Linked DNA regions of Ovis aries. The protein of the gene in region 3 interacts with the protein of the main gene of each other region in a pairwise test. Links are inferred from orthologs where the notes say so. Each region holds a gene or a part of one and is shown on either strand. Other genes may lie near its edges.

What was found.
Region 1: the proteins of TNIK (region 3) and SRGAP3 interact in a two-hybrid assay, tested with the Homo sapiens proteins (2 studies listed by BioGRID and IntAct). The link is inferred for Ovis aries from reciprocal best matches to the Homo sapiens genes TNIK and SRGAP3.
Region 2: the proteins of TNIK (region 3) and HARS1 interact in a two-hybrid assay, tested with the Homo sapiens proteins (2 studies listed by BioGRID and IntAct). The link is inferred for Ovis aries from reciprocal best matches to the Homo sapiens genes TNIK and HARS1.
Region 4: the proteins of TNIK (region 3) and GSE1 interact in a two-hybrid assay, tested with the Homo sapiens proteins (2 studies listed by BioGRID and IntAct). The link is inferred for Ovis aries from reciprocal best matches to the Homo sapiens genes TNIK and GSE1.
Region 5: the proteins of TNIK (region 3) and PPM1E interact in a two-hybrid assay, tested with the Homo sapiens proteins (2 studies listed by BioGRID and IntAct). The link is inferred for Ovis aries from reciprocal best matches to the Homo sapiens genes TNIK and PPM1E.
Region 6: the proteins of TNIK (region 3) and WWC1 interact in a two-hybrid assay, tested with the Homo sapiens proteins (2 studies listed by BioGRID and IntAct). The link is inferred for Ovis aries from reciprocal best matches to the Homo sapiens genes TNIK and WWC1.
Region 7: the proteins of TNIK (region 3) and DPYSL3 interact in a two-hybrid assay, tested with the Homo sapiens proteins (2 studies listed by BioGRID and IntAct). The link is inferred for Ovis aries from reciprocal best matches to the Homo sapiens genes TNIK and DPYSL3.

The regions. Positions count from the first base shown.
Region 1 is NC_056072.1:17,301,278-17,305,268, reverse strand, and holds the start of SRGAP3 (SLIT-ROBO Rho GTPase-activating protein 3), read right to left. Parts: upstream 2,801-3,991; 5' UTR 2,088-2,800; coding exon 2,021-2,087; intron 1-2,020. UniProt on the Homo sapiens protein: GTPase-activating protein for RAC1 and perhaps Cdc42, but not for RhoA small GTPase. May attenuate RAC1 signaling in neurons.
Region 2 is NC_056058.1:49,476,055-49,480,115, forward strand, and holds the start of HARS1 (histidine--tRNA ligase, cytoplasmic), read right to left. Parts: upstream 2,801-4,061; 5' UTR 2,728-2,800; coding exon 2,638-2,727; intron 2,364-2,637; coding exon 2,274-2,363; intron 1-2,273. Other genes in the region: histidine--tRNA ligase, mitochondrial, read left to right, coding at 3,066-3,173. UniProt on the Homo sapiens protein: Catalyzes the ATP-dependent ligation of histidine to the 3'-end of its cognate tRNA, via the formation of an aminoacyl-adenylate intermediate (His-AMP). Plays a role in axon guidance.
Region 3 is NC_056054.1:217,053,465-217,056,964, reverse strand, and holds part of TNIK (TRAF2 and NCK-interacting protein kinase), read right to left. Parts: intron 2,795-3,500; coding exon 2,688-2,794; intron 1-2,687. UniProt on the Homo sapiens protein: Serine/threonine kinase that acts as an essential activator of the Wnt signaling pathway. Recruited to promoters of Wnt target genes and required to activate their expression. May act by phosphorylating TCF4/TCF7L2.
Region 4 is NC_056067.1:11,173,734-11,177,233, forward strand, and holds part of GSE1 (genetic suppressor element 1), read left to right. Parts: intron 1-1,419; coding exon 1,420-1,595; intron 1,596-2,006; coding exon 2,007-2,204; intron 2,205-2,703; coding exon 2,704-2,895; intron 2,896-3,251; coding exon 3,252-3,500.
Region 5 is NC_056064.1:9,415,059-9,419,046, reverse strand, and holds the start of PPM1E (protein phosphatase 1E), read right to left. Parts: upstream 2,801-3,988; 5' UTR 2,649-2,800; coding exon 2,197-2,648; intron 1-2,196. UniProt on the Homo sapiens protein: Protein phosphatase that inactivates multifunctional CaM kinases such as CAMK4 and CAMK2. Dephosphorylates and inactivates PAK. May play a role in the inhibition of actin fiber stress breakdown and in morphological changes driven by TNK2/CDC42.
Region 6 is NC_056058.1:78,063,658-78,067,003, reverse strand, and holds part of WWC1 (protein KIBRA), read right to left. Parts: intron 1,664-3,346; coding exon 1,430-1,663; intron 1-1,429. UniProt on the Homo sapiens protein: Regulator of the Hippo signaling pathway, also known as the Salvador-Warts-Hippo (SWH) pathway.
Region 7 is NC_056058.1:56,340,365-56,343,864, forward strand, and holds part of DPYSL3 (dihydropyrimidinase-related protein 3), read right to left. Parts: intron 3,333-3,500; coding exon 3,176-3,332; intron 2,484-3,175; coding exon 2,342-2,483; intron 499-2,341; coding exon 328-498; intron 1-327.

The DNA.
Region 1 (3,991 bases), on a different chromosome or scaffold from region 3:
AGAGGAATAAAATGAAACTCTTTTAACCAGAATGCAAAGACATTTAGAGTTTAGAAGAGATAAGATCATTTGGACAAATTTCCTGCTGAAATGCATTACCCTGCCCTTGCTATTTAGACGTTAAAATAAACACAAAAGGTAAAAAGTAAAAGAATCACTCAGAGCTACAAATGCTTAATTGATCTTCAAGCAGAGTTCACGGTCCAGTGGTAGCAATCCTTCAAAATGAGATAAGTACATTTCCTACCAAGCCGATGCTTATAAAAACCCCAAACTATCCCAAGCTCCGCCTACCCTTCTCTCTGATGGCATTTTTCATGGGAAACTCAGTTTTTAAAGAAAAAAATAAATATCAGCCTGATTAGTCTTACAGAACATAAACTCCCTAAAAAGCGTGCAGGCTTCTGTATTGAGCAGTCAGAGAATTCAAATCTCTGACCAATAAAACGGTGGATTTCTAAATTTTCAGCAAGGCTGAAACCTTGTAAGTCACTGTTTTCCACAGTGAACTGAAAACTGCAGAGGAGGAGCCCAGGGAAGAGCAGGGTTTTCTGCTCATTTCTCCCTGGGGTCTACCGAGAGGTGATTTGCATGCTGGGTTTGACCAGAACTAAAAGACACAAGACGGTTGGCAAGGCTGGAAAAAAAAAACAAAGCTCTCCCCTGATGGGCTGCTCCCCTCCCAAAGTTTCCCAAGCATCTGAAGCATGGACAGCAGCTGTGATGCGCGACCTCCCAACGCTCCTGGGGAAGCCACCCGACTTCCTGGGTCACTGAGCCTTGAGCAGCAGCAGCACCTAGAAGTAGGTGTGGAACCTCAGGTCACCAGAGCAACAAATAACCAACTTGCACAATAGTCCTGGGGTGGGGGCAGGCATCAGCATCCCCTGAAGATGTACTCGGTCCTTACTCTTTCTACAAGAGATCACAACACACCCTATGTCACAGCAAGGAGAACCATGACCAGAAGGAAATCAGATGCCGAGAGGCCCAGGATTCCCTTAGGGTATATCCTAAAAGAAACGGTGAGCATGCTGGATGGTGCTTTCATGGTTTCCTTGCCAAAGCTGAGCCTAGGACTCACAAGGGTGCGAGAAGCCCCAGTCTGGCCTGAACAAGGAATCTACCTGAATTTGTCTATGCAATTGTGTCTGGTTTCCTCTTTCCCCTTGCTAGTGTGGATTTAGGGAGCGGCTTCTGAGAGGAGTGTGCACCCCGTGAGTGGCACTGAAGCTGCAACAAGCAGCCAGAGGTCATCTCAGCCTCCTGGCAGCTTTCACTGGCACTACGGAAGCCAGGCAGCATCTACCAGCCGGCACACTGAACTGCTGGTTTTCAATGAAGGCTGATGACCCTAAACACTAACGCACAGACAGTGATGGGGGCCACACACTGCGAGACAATACATTTTCTGCACTGAGCTCCCTCTTTATGCCTAAATGCCTGCATTAGTTTGGATCAATATGCTCCATAACAGTTAATCCATGGCAACCCCGACAAAGAAGTGCAGCCCAGGGATGCTGCTTCCCATAGTATACGCATGTGAATTCCAGACCAGAGAAAGGGGCAGAGGCAAAGCAACGACAAAAAACAGAAAGGAGAAAGAGGAAAAAAAAAAAGCAGATCACAAAAAATATACATCTTATTATGGGGATTTTTGCATGGCGGGGGGAGGAGGTAGTGACTGTCTTTGGCAGTGACTGTCAAAATGGCCTGAGAGTAACATGCCACGGCCAAGATGATGGAGTATCTGAGACACTCCTAAAGCCGGGTGTAGGATCCTCCTCACACACCTGCAATGCAGTGATCGCCGCCCGTTCTACAGTCCATACTCCCAGCGCCAGCGCTCTCTGCAGTCGAAACCAGTCCGGACTTGTGCAGCTGCCACTGTTCCTCCTCACAATAAGATTATTGATGCATAACAACATTTCATGATGGCAGGGAGGAAAAGAGGGAAAAAAAAGCCAAAGCAAGAGAAGGAAAGGGGAGGGGAGGCATGACTCCCCAGCCCGAATCTCACCTTTTATTTGGGCTTCATATTCGGCAATGATCTCTTTGTCTTTCTTGAACTTAGTTTGAGATGACATCTTCCAATGTGGCCAAAGGCACTGACAGGCTGTTGGATTTATTGCTCCTTTTCTTCCTGAGTCCTCGCTCCAACCCTAGTAATCACACGGCTCTGGTCGATTTCACAGGTGTAGGGGGCTAATCTCTTTCACTCAGATGCAGAGCCAGCGGAAAAATCCCTCTCGTTCTCAGAGGAAATTTCTCTTTACTCGGAGAGAAAAATGTCTCAAGTAGCTTGGTCTGGTCAACTCCTCTTGCAGAAGAACCACCACCCTAGGAGCACAGTAACCTGCCCAAGATTTTCAAGATTTTTCTTCCAAAAAAATAATAACCAAGAGCACTCACCCTCACACACTCTCTCTCTCACACACACACACACACACAGTCACACACTCACGCGTGCACTGGTGCACTCATCCAGCCATGCACACACGCAGTCGTGATGCACACTCACACACCCTCACACCCGCTCACCCTCTCACACACACTCACACACACACACACACACACATCCACAAGAGGCGCGGCGCCTCCTTGGTCCTGCAGTCAGCCTCCGGCTGGTTTTCCAAGGCTCTGTTAAAGAGATGGTCAGGTTGCCAAAGGGCCGATCATCTCGCATCCTCCCTCCCTTCGGCGCCTCTGGTCCAATATACAGTGAGGCTCAAAGCCAGGAGAGCGAGGTGGAAGTTCTCCTGCTGCAAGACTTAAGCTCCGGTGAACCGGAGGCTGGACTGCACGCCCTGCAGGGCTGGCTGAGCGCTCCCCCACCGCTCTCGTCATCAAGCTCCACCTCCCGGATTTTATAACAACTGACACATTGTAGCCTACAGGAGAGCAGAACTCACTGCAAGCAAAAAGAGGAAGAAAGGCTCACAAAAGGGAAGGAGGCAGGAAAAAGAACTGGGCTGGGGAGGCCTGAGAGGCCCCTGAAGACTCCTACCATTGGCAGTTGGGTTAGGAATTCTTCCTCCAAAAACTCCAAAAGGTCCACCTTTTTCTTGCAACATGCAATTTAATTCAATTTCTCAAGCAAAGGCTATGTGACAGTTTGTCACTCTGCCTGATTGTCTAGCGGAGGAGAGGGGCTGATCCATGTAGGCAAGCTCATTAATATTTGTGGAGCATTATGGGGCGGCAGGGACAATGCCAAGTGTCTCAGACATGCAGCTTTGCAAAGCCGTTGGGAGCAGGCTTGCTGGAAACCCAGCCACCTCAGGACAAGGGTTTAGCAGGACGCAGGGCAAATCAATAACTCATTGAGCCTCAGTTTCCTCACCAGTAAAATGGTTCTTTTTGGAGGATTTTTTCATTCTTTCTTTCAACATGTATTTCAGTTTAATATAGGTCAGGCATCGTTCTGGGTATGGGGACATGGCAATGATCAAACTAGGCAAAAAAAAAAAAAGATTCCCCACTTCTGGAGCTCCACAGTCTCCACATCACCCAACTCTGGGAAGTCAGCACTAGTCATGGTAATAATCTCAGTAAAATCAGCCCCAAGCAGAGCTCAGAATGCATCGTGAATGGTGCCTTCTGGAACTGTGCAAGGCAAGAGGCCCTAGGAGGGGAAGATGAAAGATAAACAAAATGAGAAATTTATGTATGATAGAAGATGATAAGTGCTGTGAGGAAAAAGTATTGCAGGGTAGGGGCCTTCAGGAATGAGGGAGCTCTTGGGGGCTCAAGTAAGAATGCGAAGCTAAGCTTAGCACGGAGCATGGTAATAAGCACTCAGAATACCCCTCAGCAAACCCATAACATAGTGCCCGTGAAGGAACAGGAACAGATACGGGAGGTGACTTGCCCAAAGTCACCAGCATTCGCTCCCGTGCTGTATGACACCAGATTCTGCCCATGAATATGTGCAAAGTTTGCTGCATTCTACTGGAGAGTAAACGCATTTCACACGCACTCAAGGCAGAAT
Region 2 (4,061 bases), on a different chromosome or scaffold from region 3:
CAGTTCTACACACCAGTGCTTTTGCACCTTCATTGCAAATGAAATGAAAAGGGCATGTAACATTATGAAAATAATTTTGACCAGGAAGGTCCCTTGAAAGAGTCCTTTCCCTGTAATATTGAGTTTTTTGTTAACTAAGAATCACACATCAAGAAATGTATTTCAACAAACTAGAGTGGATATTAACTCTTGACTATATCCACATTTTCTTTTAACATTATGGAAAATTTCAAACATACATTATAGAGAATAATACACTGAACCACCAGGTATCTACTATCCCGCTTGAACAACTATCAACATCTGCTATTTTTTAACTAAGCCCAGCATTTTTTCCTAGAGTATTTTAAATTAAATCCTAGATATCATATACTTTCATCCACAAATATTTCTTTTTTTTTTTTTTAGGTCCATCATCACAAATATTTCAGTATGATTTTCTAACATACAAAGATTAAAAAACAAAACGCTGTAATACCTTTCTTACAATCAACACAACTTATGATCAGTCCACTTAACAGCAACCCTTTAGATAGTGCCCAAACCATGTTTATTACTCCCAGTTGCTGCAGTCATATCTTTTTATGCTTGGCTTGTTTGAATCAGATTCTAAATAACTTCAGGCCTTTTACTGGGTTGATGTGTCTCATGTCTATTTAATCTGCAACAATTTTTTTTTTTAAATTATCCTTTCTTGTTGAGGAAATTGAGTCATTTTTCTGAAAGGATTTTTCTCATTCTAGATTTGGTTAACAGTAAACTCAATGGTGGTCATTTAACATGTGTTCCTCCATTTCCCATATTTCTAGTAAACTGGTAGTTAGATCTGAAAACTGATTTAGATTCAGCTTCAGTTGTCCTTGGCAAGAACACTTCATAGGTGGTGGTGTGTACTTCTTATTGCATCACATCTGGTGGAATATAATATCTGGTTGTCCTACTTTTAGAAATGCTGGTTTAGGTGAGGCCAGCCTGATCAATCAATAAATCCCCATTAATCTTTTCACCCAGTAGTTTGAATAGCTATTGATGGTTACTGCCTTGGGTTTTTACACTGTCTTTTTAATGTTTGAAATGAGTTACATGTAGAAAAGAATAGCTCAGTGATTTTAGGAGCCCAAAGATTTACTCTTAAAAGGTGACATCTCCACATAAGGAAGACAAATCATCTCCTACTGTGGAAGTAAATTTCACATACATTCATTGAATACCTGTTTAGTCCCAGGTACCTAGTCTCAGCCTCTCAGGTTAAATCAACCATGTGAATACTGAAAAGTCAGCAATAAATGCAATAACAGTATTTATGAAGTGCCAAGGGTACCTAGATGATGAGTAAGTAGTCTGGTTTATAGAACTCACAGAAAGTGTCACCTGAACTGAAATCATGGAGGCTGAGCTAGCAACTTCATTCCACTCTGCTGTCCCTCCCTATTTGATTCCAGACATAAAGTCTTTTTCTAGTTCTTGGATAGTACCAAGATTCTTTCTTGCTTCAGGATTTCCCTACCCTGCCTGGACCTATCTTCCTCACATTCTTCACCTGGCTGTCTCCCACTCATCTACAGATCAACTAGTTTATTATTTCCTCAGACTCTGCAGTTCTCCCTTATTTTTCTCAGAGCATCCCTTCTATTTCTTTACATAACTTAACACAACTTGTATTACATATCCATGTGTGGGATTATTTTTCTTCCCAAGTCTGTTTCCATTGCAGGATGTAAGCTCTGTGTGTGTGGGTGTTTAGTCGCTAAGTTGTGTGCAACTCTTGCGAACCCATGGACTGTAGCCCACCAGGTTCCTCTGTCCATGGGATTTCCAAGGCAAAAATAATGGAGTGGGTTGCCATTTCCTTCTCCAGGGGATCTTCCCCACCCAGGGATCGAACCCATGTTTCTTGCATTGCAGATGAATTCTTTTATCACTGATCCACCAGGGAAGCCCAAGCTCTCTGAGGGCAGGCTACATTGTTCACCATGGTACACTCACTGCTTTGTACACTGTTAGGAACACAGTAAGCACTCAGTAAATATTTACTGAATGAAAGGAGGAGTAGACTCCCCGAAGCACCCAGCTGGCCTAGTTTCTTCCATCACTTTGTCATCCCAGAATGACTCAGATAAGAGTCCAGTTCAGCCTGGCGCCAAGAGCAACTGCTGTATCCTCTGCAACATTTCAGATCCTTCTCAGTGATCTGGTTCAGGGAGGCAGGCATATGAGTCCTGTGAGTGGAATTAGGGACCCTCTAGGAGGCTCCCTAAAGGAATTATATTTACCTTGGGGGTTTTGAGCACAAACTTCGGTTTTCCTTCATCAGGGCCCAGCTGTGCCTTCAGTTTCAGTAGTTTTGCCACCTCCTCCTCGATCTGTGGAGGGAAAGCAGGAGCTGGATTACCACATCTGCCACTCCCTCCCGCTCCCGCCATTCATTCAGTATCCCTTCCTCATCAGGATGTGGAGCATATTTCTCTCCTAGCTTTGCTTCTCCCAAATCCTACCCCAACTACCTCCCCACTCAGCTCGTCCTGCTATTTATACCAGTCCAGTCCCTTCTTCCAGATCCCTATCCTCTGAGCTGACCACCCCCGCTCTGTCCTCGCTGGCCTTGTTTTGTCCTCTCTCCCGCCGCCTGGGTCGTACCTGCTCGGCACTGGCCTTCTGCTGCTTAAGGCCCCGCACACGCTCTCCCTGGACTCGCACCAGATCCTCCAGCGCCGCACGATCGGCCATACTTGCTGCCGACTGGAGCTGACTGCTGGCTAGATAGGTTGCGGTGGCCACAGCCTCGACTCGGAGGACTTCCGGATATCCAGTAGTTGGCCCATATGCCTAGAGAGCCACCGCCCAATAAAAAATTACTTCCGGCTCCTACCGGAAGTGCGGAGGCCGGGCGGGAGCCGGGGAAGAGTGGAGCTAGTGTGCTAGGTTTGAGAAGTGTAGAAGCACTTATCTCATCTTTGGTGCTCGGCTTCGCCTCCACAGTGTCCTGTAACCCTTCCTGGGGTCCTGTCTGCTTCATTCTTAGGTTCTTTGCCTCTTGTTCCGGAAATCCTGCTTCCTGCCGCAAGATGCCCCAGCTCGGACTCCTGCATGGGAGAGCCTGGACTGTGTTCCTTGGCCAGCTCCGGCGGCCGCCCGGTGCTGTGTGCATCAGGGCAGTCCGTTCTCACAGTCAGGTGAGCCAGACTGAGGTAGCTCTGGTCTGTCGGGGCAGGATCTCCAGGTCTGAAAGCATGGACTTTAAGCCTGTACTCCAGCCGTATTACAGTCGGTATTTAGTGAGTGCCCTCCATGTACCAACACAGAGCTAAGGCCTTTAGGATGCTTTATTATTTAATCATCAAAGCAATCTTGAGAGGTTGGGGTTATATTTCCATTTTATAGATGAGGAAGCGGAGGCTGCAAGGTTAAATGACTTGTGTGGCTGCGTAGTAAGGGAGCGTTTTAGTACAGGTCCACAATCCCTTATCTGAACCTTTTGGGTTCAAGCACATTAAAAAAATTTTTTAAGCAAAGAATGTGATCATTCCCACTAACGACCATAAGTAGGATGAGTTCAGGTTAGAATTTACCTCAAAATGAATCTCCCTCATCCCAGTTTGTAGTTTTCAAAGATTATGGATTCTTAGGAGGGGCTGTGGGCTTCACTGCCCTGACTTGGAGGATAGAATCAGCCAAAGTATGAACTACACCCTCTATATTTCTGGAAGGGTGTACAGTCTGCTGGTAATAAAATCACAGATTCTGTTTTACCTTGGGAAAGACACGGATGACTTCCTAGTACATGCTTTGTGTTATCATGACCAACAGGGTGCATATCTTTTGTTATTTGCAGTCACAGCATCCTACTAATCTTTTTTTTTTTTTTTTAAATCCATTCCTGTTTGTTCCACAGGCGTTGTTCTCTGTTCTTGGAAGAAAAAGAATGGGCTGTTCTTGGGCTGGTTCTCTTCTGTCTTCAAGTTATTTTTTCCCTATCTCTAAGCCTCATGACCATTGCTGTCTTATTAACAATTTTTATTTTTTGCTCTTTGAGTGGAAACTGAGAACTGGAGATCATACTA
Region 3 (3,500 bases):
GCTAAGTCGCTTCAGTCGTGTCCGACTCTGTGCGACCCCATAGACAGCAGCCCACCAGGCTCCCTCATCCCTGGGATTCTCCAGGCAAGAACACTGGAGTGGGTTGCCATTTCCTTCTCCAATGCATGAAAGTGAAAAGCAAAAGTGAAGTCGCTCAGTCATGTTCGACACTACATGGCAGAGACGGGGATTCTCCATCCCCCCTTCCCTGCAATGCTTTTGATTATCATTGCAGGTAAATAATTATTACTGCTAAGTTCATTTCCTCCCTACATTCTCTGTAAGCAGAAAAATGTTAGCTGTATTCACAAGATCTCCTTTCTTTGGACAAAATACAACGTTTAAGAGGTTCCAAGGGAAAAGCACATGTTTTGCAAGCCACTGACCATTTATTGGGCTTCCCTGGTGGCTCAGCAGGTAAAGAATTCACCTGCAATGCAGGAGGCTTGGATTCGATCTCTGGGTCGGGAAGATCCCCTGTTGGAGGGCATGGCAACCCACTCCAGTATTCTTGCCTGGAGAATCCCATGGACAGAGGAGACTGGCAGGCTCTAGTTCATGGGGTTGCAAAGAGTTGGACACAACTGAAGCAACTGAGCATGCATGCACGACCACTTATCAGTTATTTTGGAGCCTTAATGTTATTAAATTAGTATCTCAGAGGGAACAAAGGACTGCTTTTTATTTGACTAGAGAAACACAGTTCTCTTTCTTTTGGGTTGATAGAGGGAAAAAGACTTAAAGTTGAAATGATGCTTGATGTACAGAAACTGAAATTCTAAACAACTTATCTCATGAACACAGCCTAGAAGGCAGGGTTCAAAGGAACAAGAAGCCCTGATAACTGGAGGTTTACTATTGCTTGGAGAGGAGGACTGGTAAAGTTCAGGCTGGCAATCCAGCCTCACATTCCTTTCACTCCCTGGTCACAGTCCACACAAGGGGTCCTCAGTCCTGCTCACAGCACCGGCTCGGTGGTGACAAGCTGCTGGACAAAAAAAAATTCAGAGCTTCTGCAACTGGCAACTCCACTCAGAATGAGCTAGCTTCTTTGCCCTCCAGAGGTGAATGTTCTTAGTACAGTTCTGTCTTATTTACAGACTGACTCCTTCCTAAGGCTTTTCATATGAAGAGAAAAATGAAAGCCTTATGATCAAAACCATTCCATATTTTAGGATCTGTACAAATAGTCATAACCTTCATTTCCAGTCTCTTTTCTTTGACTAGCAAGAGACTGTCCTCTTATGAACACAATGAAGAATAAAACAGTACCCCTAAGTTCCTTTTTATAGTCTCAACAGAGGCCATTTGCTATTTCAGCTGATCCTAAAAAGGAGTGTACTCATGAAACATGTGAGGGGAGTTTGATGAACGACAGCAACAAACAGCATCTGTTACCCCATAAAATCTGCTGTGATACTGTAAGGATATTGTTTATTTTCCAGCTTCTGTTCAGACCTCTACACCCACCAGTAGGTGGATGCAACTTCCTGATTGTAGGAATATACATGGTTGGTAAAAAATTCCAGAAGAGCAAAGAGCATCACTGTATTTCAGTGACACTCCACAATTCCAGAGATGACTTCCTCATGAGAACTAGTCCTTTTGCAATTTGCCAAACTAGGACAGCTCTGCAGCTGGTCACTATGGCACTTCTTTGCCAATTATTTTCTTTCTTTCTTTTTGGCTGAGTTGGGTCTTCATTGCTTTGCCGGGGCTCTTTCTAGTTGTGGCGAGCACGGGCTTCTCACTGTGGTGGCTTCTCTTGTTGTGGAGCATGGGCTCTAGGCCTGCAGGCTTCAGTAGTTGTGGCTCACAGCCCCTAGAGCATGGGCTCTGTAGTTGTGGTGCATGGGCTTAGTTGCCCCAAGGCATGTGGAATCTTTCCAGACGAGGTATGGCACTGAACCTGTGTCCCCTGCATTGGCAGGCTGATTCTTAACCACTGTACCACCAGGGAAGTCCTCTTTGCTAATTACTTTCTACTGTCTCAATAGTCCTCAGGGCACATTTCTTTCTTTTTTTAATTCATTATTTTTATTTAATATAAATTTCTTTATTTTAATTGGAGGCTAATTACTTTACAATCTTGTGGTGGTTCTGCCATACATTGACATGGATCCGACACGGGTGTACACGTGTAAATTGGAGTATAGTTGCTTTACAATGCTGTGTTAATTTCTACTGTAGAGCAAAGTGAATCGGTCACACATATATGCATATATACTGTCTTCCTTGGATTTCCTTTCTATTTCGGTCACCACAGAGCCACAGGGCACGTTTCTTGACCTGATGCTAAAAATCATCTCAGATCAGGCCACTTTGTTTGGCTGGCTTCATCACACGGTCCCTGAGGTTAATGGTCAGGGGTACCACACCCAGACTTCATTTGTAGTTTTACTCCCACATTTGAAAACCTGCCAAATAAGGTAAGCCAGACTGGCTTCTGCATTGATTCCGTGATTCATTTGCTCATTCATTCATGAGCCCACATTATACACTGGTTTCTGTGAAAGGCTACTGAAGAAATAAAAGACTTGCCTCTGGCCCACCAAAATTTACAGTCCGGGTGGCCAGTCAACATGCCTTAGAAGTGAAAAAAGAACAAAGGTGGTATTTTAGGAAAGCAGTAATGACAACGGTAGGTGGGGCTCTTCCCTTCACCTTACCCATCTTCCTTCCCTTACCTTGCTCTGATGGGTTGAGATCCTAATCTGGGTCCCAGAGCACTACCATTTCCAGGAGAATTCTTTCTTGCTAATGCTGGGGATATAGAAGTTGTTCTTTGAGGCACCTGAAAGGAAACCAGAATTCAGAAATATTTTCCATAAAATAACTTCCATGTGGTACTGCCTGAAATGCAGCCTACTCCTTTCCTAGGATCTGCCAGGAGACATGGAATGATCAGAAACAGGAAAGAAACATCTCAAAGAAATACTTAACTCCCTAAACAAAATCAAAGGAAAGGCAATGAGGCACATTTTAGCAACTATTAATGAGTATTGCCTTCAATGTTAAAAACAAATTTAGAAACACAGCAAGTGAATTACTTTGATGTACAGGGCTAAAATAATTGCCTTCCTTTGTGTGCACAAGAGTGGTGGACACCAGAAATTTCTTTGGGGTATCATGAACTCAGTTGGCCATTGGAAACTGCATCTGATGACAGTCATCCAGATAAACAGAGTTCCATTTTTAACTCACAGCACAACTAATAAACAGATGAGGAAACTATGAAATCTGGTGAGAAACTAGGGTATCAGACTAGAACTTGGGACATAAGCTCAGTGAGCTCAGAGAAATGACTGGAATAGGTCCTAAATATTTCCACTTGCTAACCAAGTTGCAATTGCTAATTCAAAACAAACTCCTACCACTGTGATTCCAGAGGTCAATTTGCAAATGTAATTTAAAACACAGGATTAATAATGAAACTGCTGGAAGGTCTTCAAAAAACTATGTAAGTACCAGTTAGACTGTGAACTACAGTTGGAAATTGT
Region 4 (3,500 bases), on a different chromosome or scaffold from region 3:
GCCCAGACCCCGGGCACAGGGTTCAAGGCCTCACCCCTCTCGTTCTGGCTGTGCCCCGTGCCAGTGGCGGGGGTGTGAAGGGCTGCAGCTGTATGTGCAGGACCCGCGTCCTGTGCACGTCCAGCAGGCGGGGGCCCCTGGGCAGGGTCAGTCATGGGGGCCCATCCAGGGCCTTGGGGACTGGAGGGGAGTGCTGGCTTCCTGCCCTGACTTGCGTGGGGGGCTCGCCCTCGACCCCCCAAGCCTGGTGAAGCCCGCCTGGGAAAGAGGGTGTCGGAGTTCACGCCCTGTGAGGGGCGGCCTGCCATTCGGGGTGGGAGCACGGGCGGCCTGGCCACGGCATGGCCCGCCGCTGCCGTCTTCTGGGGCCCAGGAGGTGCCACAGCCGCCTGCCCGGGTGTTCCGTAGACACGGTGATGGGTGGGCCCCTCCTCTCTCCGGGAGCTGTGTGGTCCCTCCTGTGCCCCCCGCATGGGGAGCGAGGTGACCTGAGGCTCTGCCGCCCCCATCTTCTGACTCCAGTGGGGGAGATGCCAGGCAGACAGCGGAGGGTGTCTCCCTGACCCGCTGCGTCCTGCTCTCCTGTTGCTAACTGGGGTGGCTGGGCCAGGCTTGACGCCAGGTGAGGAGGGCACCATGCGGCCTGGCGAGGGAGGGCCTGGCGCGTGGAGCTCTCGGGTCGGGGAGGCCAGGCAGCCGCGTCCTCCTTGGCCGTGTGGCGACGGGACCCTGGGCCAGTGGCTGTTAACGCTCCATGCCTGCCGCTTGCTCCCTTCCGGCCGTGTCAGCGACCGGAGTGACCGAGCCTCTCCACGGCCTGCCAGTCTGCAGCCGGACATTCCTGCGGGTGGGCCTGCAGGGTGTTCCTCTGTGTGGCCGGGGCTGGTGGGGCAACGCCTTTCCCTTCCTGCCTTGCATGAGCCCCTTCTGGTTTCCTGGGGTCTCCCCGCCACTGAACCCTCCAGGCCCCAGGTCCCTCTCTTGGACAGGAGTCTGGGCAGGCGGGCCCACAGCCCCCACCAGTGAGCAGAGGTCCCCCGACAGGTCTGGCCCCACAGCTGCCTGCTCTGGCCAGAGCCAGGGCCGACCAGGGTCTGTCTGGGGGGAACAGGCTGGCCTGTTTGGCCCGAGGCAGCGCCAGCTGCTCAGCCACATCTTCCGGGGGCACTGAGGCCCAGTGATCTGTGAGGCAGGCCAGCAGCTGCCACCTGGGCCCCTGGGACGCCGGCATGATCGGGTGATCGGGTGGGCGGTGGGCAGGGACTCAGCGGCTGTCACCCCCACCGTGGCGTGGAGACTGTTGCAAGAATGTCTCCCTGAAGCTTGACTGCTCTTGTGTGTCCGGAGGAAGGCCTGGCCCACTGCCGGTGGCCGAGCTACAAGCTGCCCCTCGGCCCTGACCTGCACTCTCTTCTCCAGCAGGATGCTAGCTCCCGGGGCGGCAGCAGTGGCCGCGAGCGCCTCATCGTGGAGCCCCCGCTGCCCCAGGAGAAGGCGGGGGGCCCGGCCATCCCCTCGCACCTGCTCAGCACCCCCTACCCCTTCGGCATCTCACCCAGCTCGGTGGTGCAGGACTCCCGCTTCCCACCGCTGAAGTAAGTGTGGGCTGGGGGTTGGGCACGGTGTGGGGTGGGACCCCCAAGGTTCTGGCTGCCGCGAGTCGATACCAGCTGAGCCCGAGAGCTGCCCGGTGGTGGCCGCGCCCTGGGCTGGCAGCCCTGCTGGCCGTTGCCACTTGTGCCCGCGGCGGGCTCTCTGCCTGCCTGACCCTAACCCCCCAGCCTGGCTCCTAGGGCCGGAGGTGGGGGGTGGTCTCCCCACGCTGCAGGTCACAGACCCGTGCCCTCTGGTGAGGGGTCAGGCCGGCCCGAGGAGCGGCAGCTGCCCACCTCTGGGCCCTGGGCCTCCGGCAGGGACTGCCATTTCGAGGAGGGAGGTGGTGGCGGGGGGCTGGGCGGTGGCCCAGGGGCCCGGAGCTCACCTCCGCCGCCCCCTCCCGCCCGCAGCCTGCAGCGGCCTGTGCACCACGTGGTACCCCCCAGCACGGTGACTGAGGACTACCTGAGGAGCTTCCGGCCCTACCACACGGCCGAGGACCTCCGCGTGTCCTCCCTGCCCCCGCTCGGCCTGGACCCGGCCACCGCCGCAGCCTACTATCACCCCAGCTACCTGGCCCCGCACCCCTTCCCGCACCCGGCCTTCAGGTGAGGCGTCCGGACGTCCCCAGCCACCCGCGGGCAGACCCCGGTCTGAGACCAGGTTCCCCGACGGGGGGACTGTGGGGTGGGCCGCTCCCCCAGCCTCTGGATGCGCCGTCCAGAGCTTACTCCTGGAGGGAGACTCTCGCGCCAGCTGGCCTCCCTGGCTCCTCCACTTCCACTCAGGATTCCCCAGGCGCGCGTGACTGTTAGTGCCCGGAGCAGACGGCGCTATGCCTCCACTCTGTGTAGGAGCTTCCCAGGTCAGATGGTCAGACCTGGAGGGGCCCCACTGGGCCTGGCCCAGCTGAGCTGAGGGGTGGCCGGCGGGGCCTTGTGGCCTCTGGGAGTGCAGGGCTTTGGGGCTGGCTGTGGAAGGGGGCTCTCCGGGACCTTTGTGGAGGCCCTGTCCGCCGCTCCCGCATTAGTACCTGTGCCTGGGGGGGAGCTGGGTCCTGCCTTCCTCTCCACCGTGGCCGCTCACCGGCCCCCTCTGCCCCCACAGGATGGACGACTCCTACTGCCTGTCAGCCCTGCGGTCCCCCTTCTACCCCATCCCTGCCCCCGGCTCCCTGCCCCCGCTGCACCCGTCGGCCATGCACCTCCACCTCTCGGGTGTCCGCTACCCGCCTGAGCTCTCCCACTCATCCCTGGCGGCGCTGCACTCAGAGCGGATGTCCAGCCTGAGCGCCGAGAGGTAAGCGAGCCCCGTTCGAGAGCGTGGCTGGGCCAGCTGTGCTTGGACAGCCACCCCTGCCCTCGGCCTGCTTGTCTGCAGAAGGGGCACTGCCGGGAGCTCCCAGCTGCTGTCTGGAGGCCATGTCCTCACAATCGCTGGCTGCGGCCGGGAGCTTTCCAGGCTCCTGGAGAGTCTCTGTCCACGGCTTTCAGTCTCCAGTGGACGCTGAGTTTTTTCTTGGCGTGTTAGCCAAAGCAGAACCTGGCCCGCGGCCCGTTCCCATTGGGGCGGGGAGAACCCCGGGCTCACGTGTGAGCGCCTCGCTCCTGGGGGTTCTCCCGCCACGGAGGTCACATCCCTGTCCTTACCTCCAGGCTGCAGGTGGACGAGGAGCTGAGGCGAGAGAGGGAGCGCGAGCGCGAGCGGGAGGCCGACCGCGAGCGCGAGAAGGAGCGGGAGCGTGAACGCGAGAAGGAGCGCGAGCGCGAAAAGGAGCTGGAGCGCGAGAAGGAGCGTGAACTGGAGCGCCAGCGGGAGCAGCGCGCCCGCGAGAAGGAGCTGCTGGCCGCCAAGGCACTGGAGCCGGCCTTCCTGCCCGTGGCCGAGCTGCACGCGCTGCGGAG
Region 5 (3,988 bases), on a different chromosome or scaffold from region 3:
ATTTAAAAATGCTGGAAAACCATTTGTACATAATTTGTCATTTCTGAATCGGGATCCTCAGTTTTCTCTTCTGTAAAACGAAGCGAACAGGAAAACGATCTATCTCTACAATGCCTTCCAGTACTTATTCTTGTGGCCAAGTTGTATGATTTTCTTTCATAAATAATAAAGCACAAAAAGTATGTGTTTTTAAACTGTGAGACTTTTAGGTTTTTGGGTTTTGTTTTGTTTTTTTTCTGTCTGTTAACAACCTTGAAGATACTTTACATAAACAAGCCAGGCATTTTATATCTGAGTAAAACATAATAGCTTCTGCACAAAACAGTATACATGATGAAATCTTTGATTTAAGGTGAAATAATGTTTTCCAACTTCAATTTTGCTAGTTTTACTTCAAATCTAAACTTTCTCAATTAGATGGTCATTTTATAATCTGAATACTTTTCTGGTTTATACATGTATTGAAAATCTTGCTTCCCTTCCATGTGGCAAAACACACATCTACCTACCATCATCTTCATACAGATTTCATTTTTACAAAACCTTGAATGGTACATATTTCTAAACTAATAACTCTTTTTTTGAAATGGACCTTCTCTAATGTTTAAATGTGTATTTCTTTAATTCATTTGTAAAGGTAAAATTGTCAAAGTAGAGTTAGTCTGATGCTAAGATAAATCTTTCCACTTCATTAAACAATTCCATTTTATTTTAAGCGAGAAGTCTTAAGTGTCTATATAGTATTAAAAATGATATTTCATAAACTCCATTCTACAGTTGTTTACAAACACTAGGAAGAAATACTCCTAAGATGTTTTTACATGCCATTTCACATTTCTCCCAAAGCAGTATTACTTTGGTAACCAGATAGGATTTCAAAATTGAAATTTCAATAGTGTATAAAGTATCAACACAGTCCACTTTTACAGCATATATGTTCAGTGTTTTTTCTTGTTGACAAGCTTCTGTTTTAACAGGAAGAATGATTTGATCAGGTGTCTGTTAGGTTGGAAGAAGACAAAACCTTTACTTTCCAGGTCCTTTTCTTAATCTAAGCGTTTTAAAAAATCCAAGAAGTGATCTTAACTGCAGTGAATCTTGCAATAGTAAACTTTTTGATGGGGACAGAGTAACATCTTTCATTACAACTATCAGCAGAATGGCAAAAGGCTCCCGAGATTTACCAGTGTTCTCAGAAACTTGTTAGTATTCTCCTCTGTCATTATTTCAGAACAATTCCATTTAGAAAGAAACGCAATTGTAAACTGCTTCTATTTCAGGCCCATAAAAACTGGGATGAAAGGCAAAGCCTTGACCTTTCTATTTTAGACTTTCATCTGTGTAGCTAAGCCATCTGCTTTCTCTCTACCCCATCTACTTAATGGACTGAAAATACTGCACCTAATTGCAATTTTATCAAACCAGCCAGAGTTTTCCACTTTAACGAATTGCGACTCTGTCTTTCACCTGAAGGCTCGCAGGTAAAATTTTCCTTATCGTCCCTCCTCATTTCCTTCCCACCTCCCTCAATTATGAGTTATCAAGTATCATTAAACTACGATACGAGGCTTCCGTATATTAAGCCATCTACACTTTCAACACTGAGCGCCCAACAGAAGAATATCGACTCCAGTCTCCCCTCTTGTGGATCTGGGGCCGGGATTATCATCTTTGTTGCGGTTACGCAGGAGGCACCCAGTAAGCAGCTCCTGCCTAGAAAGGAGACCGCGTCTCTCCGCCGCCAAACAACAGGGCGGGGGGGGCGACTCGCGCCAGGAAAAAGACAGACCCGGGTGGGAGGAAAACCTCCAGGAGGAAGGAGAGGGCTGGGAAGAGGGAGCTCTCAAGACTAGAAGGAAGGACCTTCCCAGGCACCAAGCAGAAAAGGTGTGAGAAGTGGAGAAAGAAGTGGGCGGCCAGGGAGAAGCGGGAAGCCCGGGGCCCGGCGGGAGGGCGCGGGGGGCGGCTCCCGGGCCCGGCGGGAGGCGCGGGGGCCGCGGCGGGCGTGGGCATCTCGCCGCCGACCGCCCGAGTCCGAGCAGCGGGGGCGCCTCCAGCCTCGCCAGGGCGCCGGCGTGAGGCGGGCGGGGGAATGAGGAGCGGAAAAGCGAGCAGTTCGAGCGGCAGAGGGAGCCGCGTCGAGGCCGGCGCGGCGGGGACGGCGGCCCACCCCCCGGCCGAGCCCCGCTACTTAACTATTTGTAGAGCTGCTGCAGGCACAGGTCCAGGCTCTCGCCCTCCACCTCCTCGCGGGTGATGCGCTCCGACAGTGGCCGCGGCAGCGGGGGCAGCGGCGGCAGCCGGGGCTGCGGCGGCGGCACGGCCGACTGCCCCCGGGCCGCCGCCTCCTCGCCCGCCGCCGCCGCCGCCTCCTCCTCCACCGCCTCCTCCTCGGGCTCGGGGTCTTCTCGCTCCTGCTCCTGCTCCCCCTCCTCCGACGCGGCCCCCGCGGCCGCCGCCTCCCCGGCTTCCTCGACCGACGCCTCGCGCGCCTCAGCCGCCACCAGTTCGGGCTCGGGCTCGGGCTCCGACTCTTCGGGTTCGGGTTCCGGCTGGGGCTCGCCGCCGCCGCACGGTCCGCGAAACTCGCCCAGGAATAGCTCCAGGAAGCGCCGGTAAGTTTTCTCCTCAGGGGTGCAGCCGGCCATCGCTGCTCATGCCCCAGGGCCGACCGGGGAAACGGGTGGGGGAGGCCCGGGAAGGGGAGGGGGGCTGCTGGCGAGCCTCCGGCTCCCGCAAGGGCGGTTAACGGCCGCACCGGCACGAGCGATCAGCACTAGGTTGCCTGGAGAGGGCTCCCGCAGGCGTGCGCGCCGCCGAGCCCGGACGTGCGCGGCCCGGGGCCGGGGGGCGGAGCGCGCCGCCCCTCGCGGGTCTGGAGGGAAAGTTGGTCTCGGGCGCGCGCGCGGGGTCCGGCGGAGGCCCACCCTCTAGCCCTACTGAGAGAGCAGCCCAAGCTGCCTAGAGACCGTCGCCATGGCAACCGGCCTCTAAGGAAGAATTTCAGGGTCCCTCCCGTCGAGTCCACGGAGTCGAAAGGGGCACTCGACTTGGTCCCCTCTCCAACTCTGAATGCCTTCATTGTGTGGATACCCTAACCTCAAAGTGGTTACGAGGGAACTAAGACGTTCGCCCGGTCTAGCTGTTGCTCTTCCCCGATTTGGATTCACCTCAGTTTTCCTTATCTGTCCTGTCTTGTCTTAGGGTCCGTATGTGCGGAATGATGCCACAGTGTGAAAACCTTCTACTGTCGATGACATTAATAAGTAGTTTGCAGGGGAAGGCATTCAACATCTACAAAGGTGGGTGCCTTTGCCTCCTTTCTCTCATCTGATTCTGTGAAGTGGTGTTAGCCTCACTTCCCCAGAAGAGGAAGCAGGATTAAGTGCATTTCTTTTTTCAAGGTGTGGAAACTCCTAGTCGTGGCATGGGAATTGGAACCCAGATTGTCAGCTTCTAAAGCCTTTCTAGACCCTTTTTCCTGTACTCTTCTCTGACTTTGAAGACTCAGAAGTGTAATACACCTATCAAGCCTTATTTTCAAAAAGCTTTATAGTGTAGGCGTTATATTCATCCCCTTAATCCTTATAATAGCGCCTCCAGGTAGAAGGTATTACCATGATTCCACTCCATGGATGAAAAAACTGAGACTTCAAGATATTGCGATGCAACAAGGACTAAGCCATCAGATTTCCAGCACATCAAGACACCCTTCTTGAGTGTCTACAGGCAAGCCCCTCCAGTATTCTTGCCTGGGAAACCCCAGGAACCGGGGGGCTACAGTCCATGGAGTCGCAAAAGAGTCCGACATGATTTAGTGACTCAACAACAAATATATACTTTATTACATAATCTGTATTTTTTGGTACATTTTGTTTGCTCTTCTTCCCCATCCCCCTGAGTCTCTATTTTTGTAGACTGAAACTGAAACAACTTTAAATTATTCTAATTTTCTTACCAAACTACACACAAACCTATTATTTTCAAG
Region 6 (3,346 bases), on a different chromosome or scaffold from region 3:
TTATTATAACTCTGATATAATAAACAAGAAAGAAATAAATGTTTGGGGAACTTCTGATTTACTAGAGTCAATTTGAGGCTCCCACAAGTCCAGACCTAGGAAGCCCAGCACCACCTCCTGCTTTATGTTATCACCTTAATTGAGAGTCGGAATTTTAGCTAATGGCCCTCCCAACAATCCAGTGAGGCACCCTCTGGAAGGCGCTCTTGTATTGCTTGGCTGTGTGCAGAGAAAACTAGCAAAAGCTTGTCATTTCTGCCATGGACAGCCATCCTGGCAGGTATGAAAGGAATGAGGCAGAGATGGCCTCTGTGTGTTAACCCTATGGTGTTTTATTTCTTCACCACAGTCTGGGATCTGTTAGCTAAGAGCCCACTGGTGTCAAAGACAAATTTTTACCCATCCAATTGTTTTAAATGAAGCTCAAATAGCAGTTTGGTTTTTCTTTTTTTTTTTTTTTTAGACTTTTAGAGCCTGCCTGTTACCTATACCCCCTAAAAGTGCACCCAACATCTGCTAGTCTAGATGTGCTAAACCCCAGGACTATAAAAGACTCCAAACTCTTGCTGCTTTGTTCTCCAACCCAAGACTTCTCATGGTGCTCCAAGTCACATCATCTCCAAGTCTAGGTCCCCTCTCCAGCTCCCTTTTCCCCTGGGAGTTCGCCTGGTCTCCTCCTCTCTAGGTCAGTCAGTTCAGTTGCTCGGTCGTGTCCGACTCTTTGCGACCCCATGAATCACAGCACGACAGGCCTCCCTGTCCATCACCAACTCCTGGAGTCCCCTCTAGGCAGTGGAGCCAAAACAGCTGCCTCTGGAGGCTGGGGGTGGGGGCGTCTCATGCAGTGTGAGACCTTCCCAAATACACACCTGTGAAAGCAGCAGCCACCCAAATTCAACTCATCGTATGCTCTGGCCCCTTTGTGGTTGTATCTTTTTTCTTGAGCAACGCTGAGATCTCCCCAGCTCACTACGCTACGGATGAGACGCCAGGAGGCTTGTATCCTCAGGCGTCTTCATCAGGATAAAACCCGGCCAGGACCCACTCCTCTCCCCTTTGGAGAAACGTGCTCTGTGGGACTGGGTAGGCAGGCACGAGGGCAAGTCAGCGTTTTTATTTCCTCTGTGCAAGTGTGTGCCCCAGCGTAGATAAAGTGCCCCCCAGTATGCCTGATGAAGGACCAGCTGCTGGAATAAACGTGCGAGTAATAAGGGCTTGCACACATAGACGGGAATGCAGCAAAAGAACCTGGCAGCAGTAAACAGTGAATCAAGCTTCCTGGGGGAGGGATTGCTGGCTTCCTTTGCTGATGAGCTTGAGGGGCTCTGGGAGCACTCTCAGTGAGTCACAGAACTGCAGGACCCGTTCAGGGCCCTCGCCGCCCTCCCTTGCAGCGGCGCGCCCTGTGTTCCCGCGGTTCGCCACCCACCCGCTTCTCCAGCATCCTCAGCAGCAGGCGGAAGCGCTCGTCCTCCCGCACCCACTGCGGCAGCTCCTTCTCCCCGTGGCTCTTGGCTTGTTCCAGCTGCTCCTTGAGCTCCTTCAGCACCGAGATCTCCTGAGTCAGCTGGCTGTGCCAGGTCCTGGTGGCCTGCAGGTCCAATTCGAGGTCCAGCGAGGTGCGTGGCAGGCGCTCAGCGCGCAGGGATTTAACGGACGAAGGCTGCGGGGGTGGGGATGGTTTGGACCGGTTAGTACAAGGCCGGGTCCACTGACTCTGTGCTCTCCCCTGCTCTGGAGGTCAGCTTATCCTCCTTCATTCATCAGAGGGCTTCCATTCCAAAAGTGAGGCTCGCCCAACCCCTGGGAGCCTGTTTTGATTTTTTCCAGGTCTACCCCTCATATTAGTGAGCATTTTTATATCCCAGGCATGGTGCTGGGTGCTTTACTTCCATTACCTGAGTTCATTTTCACAACCCTATGAGGTCCTGACTGTTATCATGTGCACAGATGAGGCTCCCAGAGGTTAAATCACACACGTTATAAGCAGTGAAGCTGAGATTCCACCCCAAGCAGCTGGCTCCAGATCCCACCCATGCACTCCCTACACGCAGTTGCTTCCCTTACTCTCACTGGCTTCCATCTACTGCCTGAGCTCTGCCTCTTTCTGCGTCAACATATCCAGACAGGTTTCTGAGACTGGACATGGGCCAGAGCAAAGGAAATAGCAACCGACTCCAGTATTCTTGCCTGGAGAATCCCATGGACAGAGGAGCCTGGCGGGCTACAGTCCACAGGGTCATGAAGAGCAGGACATGACTGATGATAGTACAGGGGCAGCAGAGCTAAGCAAAAGCATCTTCAGGTGAGACCTGGAGTCACTGAGATCACTCAGCTGGATCTCCCCGCCTTGCTCATTTATAAGCACAGACTAGACAATGGTCACCCTAGAAAAGCACAGAACCACTCCATTGAGTGGTTTCCTGTTCCTAAAAGCATGCTGGCCAGCCTGAAGTGAGGACAGGTCTCATAGTTAATGTCTTATGTATTAATACCATTTAAAAAATCACTTTATTGGGCGTTGGATTGGTTTTCTGTTACTGCATAACAAATTATACAAACTAGCAGCTGAATGTAATGCAAACTCACTATCCCACATTTTCAGTAGGTAGGAGTTTAGACAGACACAGGTTGGCTGAATCCTCTGCTCAGGGTCTTATGAGGCTGAAATCTAGGTTCTGACTGAGTGCATCCCTATCCGGGGGTTTGACGAAGGGATGATTTGCAGCCAGGCTCCCTCAGGTCCTGGGTAGAATTCATTTCCTTGCATTTTCTCACTCAGCCGCTGACCAGGGGCTGCTCACAGCTACTAGAGGTCCTCTCAGGCCCTTGCCTGGTGGCCCTCTCCACAACATGCATTGCTCAGGCAGCTAGTGGAGGAAGGTCTGCAGTGTGCACGGGTCTTGGCCCAGCCTCTGGACACCCCTGTGCCTCAGGACATAGAAAGGCCCTGAAGGGAACATGGGCTCAGACTAGCTATCAGGGGTCCCCTTTGCAAGGCATCCCCTTGGCTGAGCAGAAGAGGAAGTGAAGAAGCAGGAACTTCTGTGGGGCTTGCCTTGCGGCGGGGGGGGAGGGGATGTGTGTGTGTTGGTGGTGGGGTTGTAAGACATGCAGGGGGTACTGAGTAGGAGCTCCTCGGTGTCATTTCTCCAGGAGTGGATCACGGAACACCTGCTCCAGAATTCTGAAGAGGAGCCTATAAAAATGCTGCTTCCAGGGCCACACCACAGCTGCCTGGATGAGGTGGCCTGGGAGTGCGGCCTGGGATTCTGCATCATCAACAAGCTCCCAAGGTGACTCGGTGCCCCAGGGACTGGAGTGCCAGCCAGCCACAGCAGACGGG
Region 7 (3,500 bases), on a different chromosome or scaffold from region 3:
CTTTGACCAGTGCAGGGGGAAAGCTTTCAGGGCCGCATCCCGGTCCCCAGGCTCAGCAGTCATATAGCGCAGGTAGAGAGGGTGCCTATATTGGCCCCTGCCCTGAGTGACTGTGATGGGCAGAGCCCCTCTTTGCCCACCTATTTTGCAAAGCAGAAGTGAGAAATAAACTGCTGAGCTTTTATATCCCTGGGAATTCAGGATGATTGGTTATTGCAACACATCCTCGCCCAATAACCCTGGATCACCACAAACTCACATCTCTCCTGTCCCTGTTCCCCACCCATGTTCCCCACTCTACTCCACGCCCACCCACTCAGGCCATACCGACTGGTGGTTCTTGGCAGAGACAATCTTGACAGCATCTGGATCCCAGATCACCAGGTCGCTGTCAGAGCCCACGGATATTCTTCCCTTGCGAGGATACAGATTGAAAATCTTGGCAGCATTTGTGCTTGTCACGGCCACAAACTGGTTTTCATCCATCTTCCCTGTGGCCTGTAAAAATACACACACACACAAAATGATCCTTCCAGGGCTTCTGAGTTCAGAGCAGGGTGACCACAGTTCAGTTCAGTTTAGTCCCTCAGTCGTGTCCAACTCTTTGCGACCCCAAGGACTGCAGCACGCCAGGCCTCCCTGCCCATCACCAATTCCCAGAGTTTACTCAAACTCATGTCCATTGAGTCAGTGATGCCATTCAACCATCTCATCTTCTCCTCCTGCCCTCAATCTTTCCCAGTATCAGGGTCTTTTCAAATGAGTCAGCTCTTCACATCAGGTGGCCAAAGTATTAAGAGTTTCAGCTTCAATATCAGTCCTTCCAATGATTCTGTAGCTCACTGGGTGGGCTTAGGCCCAGAAATACAAAGAGGGGCTTCAGAAGTGGTAAGCACAGAAGTCCACCCCAGCTACAGAAGAATCAGCTGTAGCTCTGGGCTGTCCGGATCACCCAGACAAAATGGACAAATGCATGGCCGCATGGCTTAGGATGGAATTTACTGCTCTGGAAGTATGCATGTTTTTTCCAGATATGTACATACATTTACTTACTTATTTATCCCTTCTAAGTCCAAAAGGGATTATAGAGATTTCAAAGTAAAAGCAAATGTAACTGTGAGCCCATATTTTAGATATTTCTATTTGCATAGGCACCCAATAAATATGGAAGAACCTTGCCCAAATGAAAACAATGGTTATCCCTGGGTTATGGAATTCTGAGTGATTTTTTTTTTAATGTGTGAACTTTTCTGTGGTTTCCAAGTGTTCTTTATTCAGCAGGTATCATGTGAGTAATTTTAAGATATGTATTACCTTTTAGCAGTTCCAGATAGTGCCAAAATAATTATATATACACATATACTCATAAATACATAAAAATGTAAGAAAAGATGAAAAAAGTTTATATGAGAAGAGACAAAAATATTTATACTTTCCCCCTTTTCAAAACAGAAAGCTTGGGTAAGGAAAGAATTTAGTTTAAAATCTAGTTTTGACCTTCCTGGGAACCAAGAGGGGGAAAAAAAAAAGGAAACTTGGATTACATGGTGTAGATGTGTATTTTATTTGGCTCTGAAATGAGTGTCTAGGATTTTTTAAATAAAACAGAGGGAAGTGATCAACTTAATAATGAGTTTTATAAAGGTCAGTTAAATCTTAGGAAGTGACTTCATTTGCATGGCTATGTTTTTTGTCAGCTTCTCTGATGTTAACAAGGAAAGTAAAACCACACCACTTTGCCAGAAGACTCTGACAATTACCTGTACACTCTGGATGACCACACAGCCCAGTGCAGGCCGTTCTTGGTGAGCAAATGACTTGAGTTTTGGTCACAGACCCCTCACCTATCATGTCAAAGGATTATAGCCAATCCTTTATTCGTACCATCAGATGAAGGATGTGTTTCTGGTTCACGTGCATGCATGCTAAGTTGCTTCAGTCATCTCTAACTCTTTGCCACCCTATGGACTGTAGCTCGCCAGGCTCCTCTGTCCATGGGATTCTCCAGGTGAGAGTACTGGAGTGGGTTGCCAGGCTGTTCTCCAGGGGATCTTCCCAACCCAGGGATCGAACCATCTCTTACGTCTCCTGCGTTGACAGGCTGATTCTTTACCACTAGCACCACCAATTCGTAGTCCTTCACAATCTAGGAGGCCTCCTGAGAACCCAGCCCTTGGGACTCATCACTCTAGAAGGGACATTCACAAACCACCTGGTTCCAGAGATACCTGGGCAGGTACGAGGCCTCATCTGCACACCCAGCGCCCCCAGGGGTGGAGAGGAGCAAGGAGCAGACACTCTGATCTGGCCTCAGCTGCCCTCCTGTGACCTCCATCCTCACCACAGCCTTGTCCCAGATGACAGACATGCGCTCCTCCACACCGTTGGTGCCCTCGGGAATGGCGGTGAAGTTGTCCTTCCCGATGGCTTTCTGGGCAGTGCTGAAGGTGCAGTGGGCACTCCCAGAGAGCTGCAGGTCTCCACTGGCCAAGGAAAGAGATCCATGTGAACTAGGAGACTAGAGGCTCCCCAGGGGCCCAGAAACAAGAGTCTAGGGTAAGGATGTGGAGTGCCGTGCATTGAGTTTGGAATCCTTCCCCTCCCTCTTGCCAACTGTGAACTTGGGTGATTTCTTTCACTCCCTGGGACTCAGTTACCCCATCTGGAAAATGAGGGGAGTGGATTAGATCACTTCTTATGTAACAGTAAAAAAGGGACCCAGACGAGTGATGGGACTTATCCATAGAGGGCAGCAGCAAACAAGTCTCCCTATAATTTTGGTTCGGTGGTCCTCATGACCAGCTGTTAAAACTAGGGAAGTGATTTGTTTCCTGGACCTCCAGTAGGCTCAATCTGTAAAACAGTGATGATAGTTCCTCACTCAGGGTGATGTTTGTTGTAAGGAACATTGAGATCACATATGTAATCTCACTCTAGTGCTTGGCAAACAATGTGTATTAACTGCTGTTACCATTACTAAAATGATTACTAGAGTATCTTTTAAAATACAATGGCAGAGAGCCCATTGTCTGTGCTCAGCACTGCAGGGGAATTCCCGATGTGCTTTTCTTACTGCAGACTCTAGTCTAGCTGATGGATGGGTGGCCCTGGTCTCCATTCCACTGGCCCTAAGACGTCTCCACGCAACACCCACTGCTTGTCATTCTGCACCAACCTGGCCAGCAAGGAGTTGATGTAGTCTGGAGTGGTCGGGTCAGGACTCAGAGGTGGGGATGTCACAAATGCAGCCGCCTTGGCCCAGTTCTTGCTCCAGTAATGGGTCCCATCTGTGCCCAGGCTGGCAGTGATGGGCTCACCAAAGACCACGTTTCCTGGAAGGGGTGGGTGAGAGGCAATGGGTTTGCATAATGTATGTGCTGCCCTGGGACTGGCTAAGATAATCATGGCCCCTACTCAGCCTTCTCAAGGCTCTGAAGTCAGGCAGGTGGGGTTCAAGCACACATTCCCAGATTTCCTAAGCCTTTGCTTTTCTATCTTCT